Neodiprion lecontei: one gene and its partner. The protein of the gene in region 1 binds, or shares a complex with, the protein of each later gene. Links are inferred from orthologs where the notes say so. Each region holds a gene or a part of one and is shown in the gene's direction. Other genes may lie near its edges.

Region 1 (5,148 bases):
AATAGCTAAAGAGCTAAGATAACAGGCGTGCATGCGGCGAAGATGTCGTGCCCTAATTAGAATTCCTAGAAAAGAGGGGAGGTGCGCAAAGGTGACCAAAAAACTAGAGAGGGGGATCGTTCTGCGCAACGATCGACCCCTATAAAAAGGGCGACCGATCACTCGATCGCTCTCTCGGTTTCTACCTCCAGATTCGTGATCTAGTTCCGGTACAGTCTCGCGGTAAAATCCTTTAGCCTTTTGCATTAAAACTTTCATACAACGTTACTCTGCCCAAAAGTTCAGCGAGCTTCAACTCCATTTTGTCATACTAAGTTTAAGATCTTACACTGTGTAACTCTGCGTTTGTGACTTCTAAATATCAAACTTATAAAATAAACCAAGTTAGTCAAAGTATCCAAATATTAAAGTCAGTTATTCCGCTAAAACCTCTCACCAATCTACAAGTCATCGCATCCAGAATACTCTCAAAAAGGTAAGCCAAATTAAATCTTTTATCCAACAATTTCTCCCTCTTCGGTTCGTTCGACTAGAGCGACAGAATGCCCGTTGTCGGGTGTATTTCAATACTTAATCGGTAATTGGTGACCCAAACTACTGATGTGAGCCTAGCTGTAGCTGCGTGTGAATGTTTCCGGTGTCTAACATCTGGAGATTTCCACTAGGTACTGTTCCGACGTCACACTCACCACTGTTCGTATACTAAAAAATTGTACGCGTCTTGTCCCCGTTTTTTAGGTCCTCTACGTGGCGCTAGTAGACTTCTCAAACGCTCGCTGCCCTCGCTGACCGCGCGCAAGCTCGTCAGGTAACTACTAGCGTCACTAGTGGTGGAAATTGGCCGCAGAATCAAGGGACATTTTGCGAACCACTTTTAGCAGCGTGTGTCAGGGGGCTGTCATAGACTTATAAAGATAGACTGAGCGCTCCTATATGAGGTACTGAAGCCTTCATATAAAGGATAGAGATATGTCGGGAGTACTACTCTCTCTTTTCAATCGGTTTCATACCGGGAGACAAGGGCGTAGTGGAAGTGGAACAGCTATAGATATAGGCGCATAATTTCGCTTCATTCTCCTCTACCGCCTCGATCCCCGCCACAAATATCGTCAGAGAGAGAAAGGAGTACTCCCGGTATATTTCTGTCCTTTAAATTTTTGCTTCAAGCGACTCATAAGAGCGCTCAGTCTATCTTTTATAAGTCTATGGTGTCAATCCAATAAATCATTATCCCCGCGGTATTCTAGGGTTAGATTCGACGGTCATGGGTTAAGTTATGTTCATTGAGATTCAGTTTGTTTCGCGCTCGGCCCACTATGGCGTTGTAGGTTTTTCTGTGTTGCCAGCATAACTTTTTGGTGTCAAAAATTAGCTGTCTCAGATTCATTGTCCGCAAGTTTACAATAACATAGAAATTATCATTATTGGTCGGGTCTAACGGAACAGGCCAATGAAATTAATGAGCTTAGCTTAACGCTGAACTTCCAAAAGCGTGGTAAGTGCTTATGACGTCACGAAATGTATATTCACAAGAGAAGACAACGGCACCTTAACCCTTAATATTTCCTTTTTCCGGTTTAATCCGAAAAGCGCAATTGAATGTCCACGATCCATTGCATTTTGATGCTTAATTGGTACATGATCACCCAGAAGTCAGAATTATTGACTGTGCGTCTAGCTGTACATACTTGCGCGTTTGAATCTAGTGTCTAGCATCTGGAAATCGTCGTGGAGTGCCATGACGTCGTAGTAAGGCTTAGAGCATATAATTTTCAAAACATGGTCAAAGTCTGGATGCAAATAAGGGTACATAAAATAACCGACGCAGCACTGATTGATACCAAGTTGAGTGATGAAATTGAATGTTTAGTTACACAGTTACACTCATTGTATCTTAAATTATAGTCAGTTGGGCAACTTATGTTTCACAGCGCCACCACTAATTGCAGCCAAAATCGGCTCACTTCTTGTAACTCCAGGATATCCCTCCTTCTGTACGCTCTGTAGTGGAATGACTTGACTATGCGGTCTGGTAATCACTTATTTCACGATCTTACTAATCAACAATGAGTTCAACAGCTGTGACGAAGGTATTCATTACCATTACAATCTTTACGCAACATTAATTTGAAATCACAATAAGTTTTTCTTAGAATTACTATCGTATGAATTTCAGTACCCAATGTACTAATATTGTAAGATAATATATGGTATGCATAACCACTGCAATATATTTAGCGATATTTGGTACAGTTATACTGAAATGTAAGGCTAATGGAATGTTGTTCGCGCTAGAAGTAATTCGACAACAGAATTTCGTAATTGTATAATAATATTTAGAATTTCGTAAGTTACTCCACAATTATAATTATAGGTATGTAGTCATGGTAATCATATACTTCATATGTTTGGTTTTGTACTGATTGCCATATACAGACCCTTAGATTAATTCTGAAACATTTCAGTCCACTGTTGAAATGGATTCGAGTTATTTTTCATGACAGTTATTACAAGCCGTGCGTTCATTTTTCCCAGTGTCTGGCTTCGCAGCTGTAGTCATCCCGACATCTCCCTTCTGATACATTTGATTTTAGAAATATATTAATTCTTTAAAATTACTTTCCGTAATATCACCTCAGGGATGTATTCCCATGGAGGAATAAGTTCCTGTTTTATTTTGTATTCTATTCATTGTCGCATTGCAACTCCTTGCCTATTAATTCTGCCTTATTTATTTACCCCGTCTTGTTTATTTTCTTTGCGTTCATGAGCCGTATTTTGTCTCTATGAAGCGGCACAGTCTTATAGCCTGCATCGCGGTTCTTGCATGTATGTAGGTGAAAAAATGTGCATTAGAGTTTGTTTTGCACGTTAAACAAGTAATAATAGTCTACCTTGGTGGCCTGGAATGTGTTTGAATCAATCCAAGGATCAGTACATATACCATAAATTTAAAAAATGTTGGATTTATGAATTTTAATTTTGTAATATGTGCAGTACTTGATCATTTTACTAATACTCTTTGATCCTTCGTGTCCAGCCTGGCGCAGTACCTTCGGTACAAGAATATAGCATCAGAGTTCCAAAGTAAGTCTATTGTTTCCTTTACTAAGTTTGCCTGAGTGACATTAATTATACTCTAATTTTGACTTCAGTCTGTGACTGATTTTACATTATCAAATTTAGAATAAACGAATACTTAATGTTCCAATATTGTGAACTTTGTGTTACACAATTTTGTACCTTACATTTTGCTACATTAGAAGTATGTACCCCATACCATCATGAAAGATCCTATTACAGATTTGTATTAATCAGTATTTCGATCCTTTTTGCCACAGGAACAGTAAAAAAAAGCACAATGTCATGCGATTTAATGCAACACTCAATGTTGACTTTTCAAAATGGTCGCAAGTCAAGATGGAGCGTGAAAATAACATGAAAGAGTATAAAGGAATGGATGAGGAGATGCCAAAGTTTGGAGCAGGATCCGAGTTTGGTCGCGACGCAAGAGAAGAAGCAAGGCGAAAAAAGTTTGGAATAACAAGTAGAAAATACAAACCAGAAGATCAGCCTTGGATTCTTAAATCAGGAGGTAAAACAGGGAAGAAGTTCAAAGGAATTCGAGAAGGTGGAGTCAGTGAGAATGCAGCATACTATGTTTTCACTCATGCACCCGATGGTGCCATTGAAGCATTTCCTTTGCATGAATGGTAAGTTCACAAAGTACATAAATTCGTAAAAAAATTGATAGCTTATTCTTAGTTTTTCAGTGAAATTTTCAACCTACTGTATAAAAAATTTAGACCTTAGAGACTAAACAAAAGCATTTTCACTCAAGCTAGCAGCTAGTGTTTAGCAATATCGTTACAAGAGAGTGTCTCAATAACATTATCAATGCAAGAGGTATTTTTCTTCTATGAAGATTATTTCTAAGGAAATTAATAATGGTTGTTAACGACACAAATTATCAGCTATTTGCTGTCTCTGATACCATCAACATTATTTCGGTGTCCTTACTATATGTAACTAGTGAATAAATATTCTCGATTATAAATATTACGTTTACCATGATAGACGTTAAAAACTTGGTAATTGTGCATATGGTATTAGTTGCAGAAGCACTAAACTAGGTGAAAAAAATTTTTACTGTTACATCTCAATTTTTGTTCAATTTCGTGAGAAAAATTAGTTCATTCAAATTATAGGTATAATTTCCAGCCAATACAAAGATATAAAGCTTTGAGTGCTGAAGAAGCTGAGCAAGAGTTTAGTAGGCGGAATAGAGTCATGAATTACTTTTCATTAATGATGCGAAAGAGAATGCGAAACGACGACGAAGGCGCCGAAGATGATCCAGAATTATCTGAAGGTGGTAAAGGAAAAAAACTTGGTAAAAAAGAAAAGGAATTAAAAATATCAGAAATGGATGAATGGATGGATAGTGACGATGATGATTCGAGTTCTGACGAAGACAAGGAGAAAAAGAATTCTGAAGAAGAAGAGGATGATAAAAAAAAGAAAAAAAAAGCTAAGGGTTAGTTTACTTACATTTGATAGTTCTTCATTGATACGTTGACTGAAGAATTACAGAGAACTGCAAATTTTGGAAGGAGCTGCGTGATAAGTTTTGGGCCTGAGCAGGCAGGCGTGAAAGTAATTCTACAACTTGTTATATGAGATGATTATGTAAATTCAGTTTCAAATAGCAGAATATTGCAATATTACTCATGAATTTCAACTTCTCCAGCCAACATACTTGATTCATAGATCTCATAAAAGACTTTGTTTTTCTTCAGACAACTACTCATTTAGGTGAGATGCAATAACTCTTGCATAATCGTGCTAATAGATTACTTTATGTACTTTATTCAGAAGTAGACTTCGAGTTTTAATTACTACACTGTTTCAACATTAATCTTTTCTTTCACTGGCTTGAACGCAATTACAGATGATGTTGGTATGGTCAATTGAATTTGGAGTGAACCATACTTTTTGTTGTAGAGGAAGCACAAAAAAAGAAGAAAAAGAAGAAGAAGGGGTCGGATGACGAAGCATTTGAAGAAAGTGACGATGGAGATGAAGAGGGGAGAGAGTGTGATTATATATCTGACTCTTCAGATTCTGAATCAGAATTGGAACAACAAA
Region 2 (5,022 bases), on another chromosome or scaffold:
TCTCGTTATGTCAACATTTTGGATACAAGAAGGCGCGCGGTTTTTGTACCAAATGAATTATCGAGTTATCTAACTATTGGATCTTCGACTAGACGCCTCAAAGAACATCCATAATTTTTTTCAGAATTTTTGAACTACTTGGAATAGCCCAAGTAAGAGTAAGATGCCAAAGACCCAATGTCACAGGCAACGTGTACCGAACACCATATGACGGGGTAAAGGATGATGTTTCTATTTCACATTACCTGGTGCCGGATGTAGCAGTGCTCGCAGGACAACTTGGTGGTGGTTTTGTTTCTGCAGAGGTGGTTGCAGGACCTGATGCGGTCAGAATATTCATACACGAGAGTAGTGCGTCGGTATACATCGCGTCCGGTGGTCCTGGAAACGTCCTTGAATTTGACTTGTCCTTGAAAAGTACTTGAAACTGCCCTTGAATTTTTCTCGTGTCCTGGAAACGTTCTATTTTTAATGCCCTTGAAAAACCTGAAAATTTTCTTGAATTTGACTTCTCGTTCAAAAGTCCTTGAAACTGTCCTTGAATTTTTCATGTGTCCTGGAATTATTCTATATTTAATGTCCTTCGATAAGCCGAAAATGTCCTGGAAATATCGTCGGACTTGTTACGGATTTTTTCACTGAACATCATGGACTTATAACGTACGAGAATGACGACAGGGATTTCGGACGAGGAAAATGATCGGTGACCTTGAATAATCCTAGCATCGATTTTACCTGCAGGTTAATTGTCAAATATGGGTAAAGACTGAAAATGGATGAAGATTTCAAAGCGATGCTTTATGAATGTCGAGGTTTTTTCATTAGCGCCTAAGACGTTTACGTTTGTCGATTATCGTAGAGTAAACATACCGCTTTTACAATAATAACATGCGATGGTGCAGCGTGTAGTTACAACTTCGCGGAATGATTAATGCTTTATATTGTTCACTAAATAAGAATAAAATTTATGAGTTTTGACACGAGTTGATCGGCTGGTGTAAATCAACTTCACGTCAATCGAGATTAAGACGTTCGAAAAAGGATCGTACCACATGTCCGCGACGGTCGTAACTTGGTTGTATTATTGTCGATGCATCATGAATATATTCCTTAGCGATTTGTGGTCAGCGAAATCAACAACGCGACTTAACCGCTTATATTGTACATACACGCGTTATACATGTCGGTATGAAAAGGCAACCGCGTGCATGAACGATTCTGTGAAATGCTTCAAGGCGTTTGCCCACACGAAGAAAAAAGATGAAGTATTTTTATGTAAAAATATATACATATATATATTATATATATCGCGAAGCTTAGAATATTGCGTGCACAGCCGCTTGTAGGATATACCCAAGCTCATGTGTATAAATGAATAAACGTGTCCGATGCAGCGGTGATTCACGTCGCGGAAAACGAAGTAAAAATATCAGCCTTACGAAAACATCCAGCAACGAGAATTGTCGCATGTATAAGAAACGAATAACAAAACTCTACCCCGTACGCTGCCAGATGTGAAATGTAAGAAATGCAATCCATTACTCTGCGTAACTTCTCGCCCGGGCGTAACTTCTCCTCCGAATTGAAGATGATAGTATACCGGTATGCTGCAAATGATGGGATAACGATTTTTCGGAATCATTGAACGTACCTTCCAGGAGATTCCGATGCACTGCAAAACGATGCTGATGAAAAAAGAGGGATGTAGGGGGTGTACGGGGTGTACGTCACTTACATTATACTCCTCTCCCTCCCCCCCACCCCCCCCTTTCGTCGGTCGATTCCTCCTCATCTCTCCTCCACCTCCCTCGCTGCACACCGCGGGTCAGGTGGAAACGGGGTGCGAGGGCACAGGGGTTGACGATGGGGGAGGTGGCGTGGCGCAGGAAAGCAGGGCTCGTCAGGGACAGGGATGAACCCTGCGAACAGTTTCGAAACAGTCTCTCATCGGAGTGGTAGTGCGACGTTCGGAGAGGAGGAGAGTTGGTTATGTCAGTCATGTTACGTTATGTTATGTTACGTACGACGGTAACCGTGCAGGCCGCTAGGTACATACGCTGTGTACATATGTACTAGACTGTAAATAAGGGATGCAACTTGACGCGATTCAGACTGATCTTCTTCCTCGCTAGCGGCTCTCTGGGGCACAAACTTCGATACGGGGTAGGGTTTCCAATTTTTCAGGGACAGGCAGGGAGGCAGGGATATAGATTATAGATGGATGGGGAGAAGATATTCTCTCTCTATATCACTTCATGCATATCGTTCCAATACATCCTACCAAAATCGAAACGAAACGAAAGACAGAGAAATTACGATGAACATATCAAACCAATGTCACACCGTACGCGTTTCATGTCGAACTCTGGAGCTTTTTTTTTCTTCTTTTGGTTTGTTAGTTACGGTACTTGTTCAACAATATCATGCCAACGAAGTGTTTCGAGTCTCGTTGATCTCTACACTCGCGCAGCTTGGCTGGATAGTGAATTTTTTCAGCTAGAAGATGGACCCGAGGATCGATTACGCGCGACTTTTATACCTCGGACTAATTTTTCAGTGCGGACTGCGCCGGTTCTGATCTCGATAATTGACGAAGAATGATTTTTACTTGACGTACGAACGTGACTGTAACAAAATTAAATTGCACCCTCGGGTACTCATGGCATGCGATTTTTGATTATCGCCACTACTCGCTTGTATCGATCTGTCATTTCTGTCCCTGTTGTGTCGCGGTACCAGCTGGCGCAGCTTGATCCCGGATCCGATCCGATACGACATCTGTATCTAGGTGCCCAACTACCTGGATGTCGCAATCGATCGAAACGTTCTTTCTTCTCTGTTCGATTATACACGTTTCTTTTTTTCTTTGATTCTTTGTTGGATTTGGCTGCCTCGAATTCTTTCGTTTGAATTTGTAAAGTTAGGTTAGGTTAGTTTTATACACTCGTTTCACAGGCCTCATGACAGCTGTAATCCTCCTCCTTGACTTTAGTGTTTTCAGACCATCATCTGTCCATATCACGATAAGAAGGATAAAAATGCGAAGAAAATAATGAAGATCGATTTCAATTCCAACACTTCATTTTTTTCGGGAACAATCTTGTGAACATGAATCGAAGAGTTCGTTCATTCGTCGATTCATTTTTCTGATATTTTGACATCGTCTGAAAAAAAAAAAATCAACGGACCAGTCTGCCCGTTTCTTACCGTTAATTCGATTTATAATTACGAGATCCGCATTCGGTTTTCAACATCTTTCAACCCGCTTCCAGAGTATTTTTCTATCTCGCGGTACGGTTCATTCTTCCTTCCAACGTTTTTCGCCGCTATTGCGTCTTGCCCGGTAGCTGGTGGAAGAGATCGATGAGAGGTGAAAAGAAATGAAGAAAAACGTTACAGAAGGTTGCCAGTCGGGGGTGAGGAAACGCCGAGGGATGTTTAATTTTTCTCTCGTAACACTATCCCTACTTTTTATCCCTTCCGTTTCCCTATCCAGGATTCTATCTCTTCTTCTTTATCCTGACGAGACGGCGGCGCTCATAGTTTCAAGTTGGGGTATCACAACCCCGTTTGTTGTCTTCTGGGGTTGGTGGTGGGGGTCGAACCGTTGCGTCACAGCTGTCAAGGGCAGCGCCACCTACAGTACACACCTACACCAAGGTTCTTCATCTTCTTACATCTTCTTCGTCGTTTTCCAAGCAGTAGAAGATCAATTACGGCACAAGTCGAGTCGGTTTTTCTCGCCCTTCGTTGTTCCGCACTTTTCGGTTTGCGCATCGAGTTATCGACGAGACGGAAATAAAGGATCTAGATAATTCTACCCTGTTATAATACCCTTCGATTTACGCTCACTGTGTAACCTGTTTCATTTCACTACTCGAATTCTCATATCGTACAACTATGTTTTTCTCGTTTCAGTTACCAGGCTGCATTGCGAATCCGAGTCCTTCAAGATGGACCTTATACTGGACATCAACAGTTGGCTGTACCCGATGGAATTGGGTGAGTAGGATCTGTGAATGTTGCCGAATGTGTGCTGCGTGTAGTTCGCCTGTAGCATAATTCAATTTTCATTCAATCGAATCCAATAAAGAACCGCTTCTTCTTGATCTCATATAACGACGCTGATATTACGCAACGCGTACTGTAATCCTGTGCAGCCACGACTCATCAACCCTCTTTTTTCTTCCTCATTCTCTTCTGCTTTTTGTTTTATTGCAAAATACAAACCTAACGTACAATAGAAATTTTCTCATCTGTCCGACGTTAAAGGGTATCCATTTCTTCGTCGGCAGTTTAACTTTATCATCATCATCATCGTTCCGACAAAAGGGGTGAAATTGCGTTCCAGTTTAATAAATCGTTTCACTGTTATTTTCTCATCATTTCGTTTTACCGTCGATATTTTTTATCTCACCACCTTCAACAATTGCGCACTTGCATAGATAGGTACAGAGAAATGCCTGTTCAAGTGGTATACATGTAGATAGAGAGAGAAAGAACTGTCCGCACCAACGAGACTGAAGTTAGTAACGTTGACTTCAAGAAACCGTCAGTGAAGAAAAAAAAAAAAAATCATTACCCTGTAATTTCTGAATGACGTTCAAGAAGTTGACTTCTCGAAATATACGAGTATGTTTGATTTCTGTTTTTTCCCCCCTCATCACGGTTTAATAAATTTCAAAAAATCCTAAAATTGCGAAGCGTTGATTTTCCCCGAACATGAATCGTTCACCTTAACGTTACCAACATCATCCTCGTTCACGCCGACAATTTTGCAAAAATCTTACAACAATCAATGATCTCGGGGAATTCCGATTCCAATATTAATTGTCAGGCAACCAATTACACCCTCCCTTCGTCATCGTCATCATCTTCATCTTCATCGTCGTATTGACCGTACCCACGTACGTACGTACACAAGTATCACTGATCGTGAGATACCTGAGGCAGCCAGTGTAAACTACAGTGGTGGTGGTGGTGGTGGTACATCAGTAGTAGCAGCCATGGTGGGCTAGGCCG

Evidence for each region.
Region 2: general transcription factor IIF subunit 1 (region 1) and DNA-directed RNA polymerases I, II, and III subunit RPABC3 share a complex: the UniProt entries of both Homo sapiens proteins name them as parts of the TBP-based Pol II pre-initiation complex. The link is inferred for Neodiprion lecontei from reciprocal best matches to the Homo sapiens genes GTF2F1 and POLR2H.

What each region holds. Positions count from the first base shown.
Region 1 is NC_060261.1:26,083,611-26,088,758, reverse strand, and holds the start of general transcription factor IIF subunit 1, read left to right. Parts: upstream 1-1,939; 5' UTR 1,940-2,066; coding exon 2,067-2,090; intron 2,091-2,104; exon of another isoform or gene 2,105-2,207; coding exon of another isoform or gene 2,208-2,210; intron 2,211-2,256; exon of another isoform or gene 2,257-2,374; intron 2,375-3,040; coding exon 3,041-3,087; intron 3,088-3,341; coding exon 3,342-3,713; intron 3,714-4,208; coding exon 4,209-4,537; intron 4,538-5,004; coding exon 5,005-5,148. UniProt on the Homo sapiens protein: TFIIF is a general transcription initiation factor that binds to RNA polymerase II and helps to recruit it to the initiation complex in collaboration with TFIIB. It promotes transcription elongation.
Region 2 is NC_060266.1:1,952,540-1,957,561, reverse strand, and holds the start of DNA-directed RNA polymerases I, II, and III subunit RPABC3, read left to right. Parts: upstream 1-1,897; 5' UTR 1,898-1,912; coding exon 1,913-1,991; intron 1,992-3,918; coding exon 3,919-4,002; intron 4,003-4,790; exon of another isoform or gene 4,791-5,022. Other genes in the region: protein UBASH3A homolog, read right to left, coding at 246-451, 1,652-1,792. UniProt on the Homo sapiens protein: DNA-dependent RNA polymerase catalyzes the transcription of DNA into RNA using the four ribonucleoside triphosphates as substrates.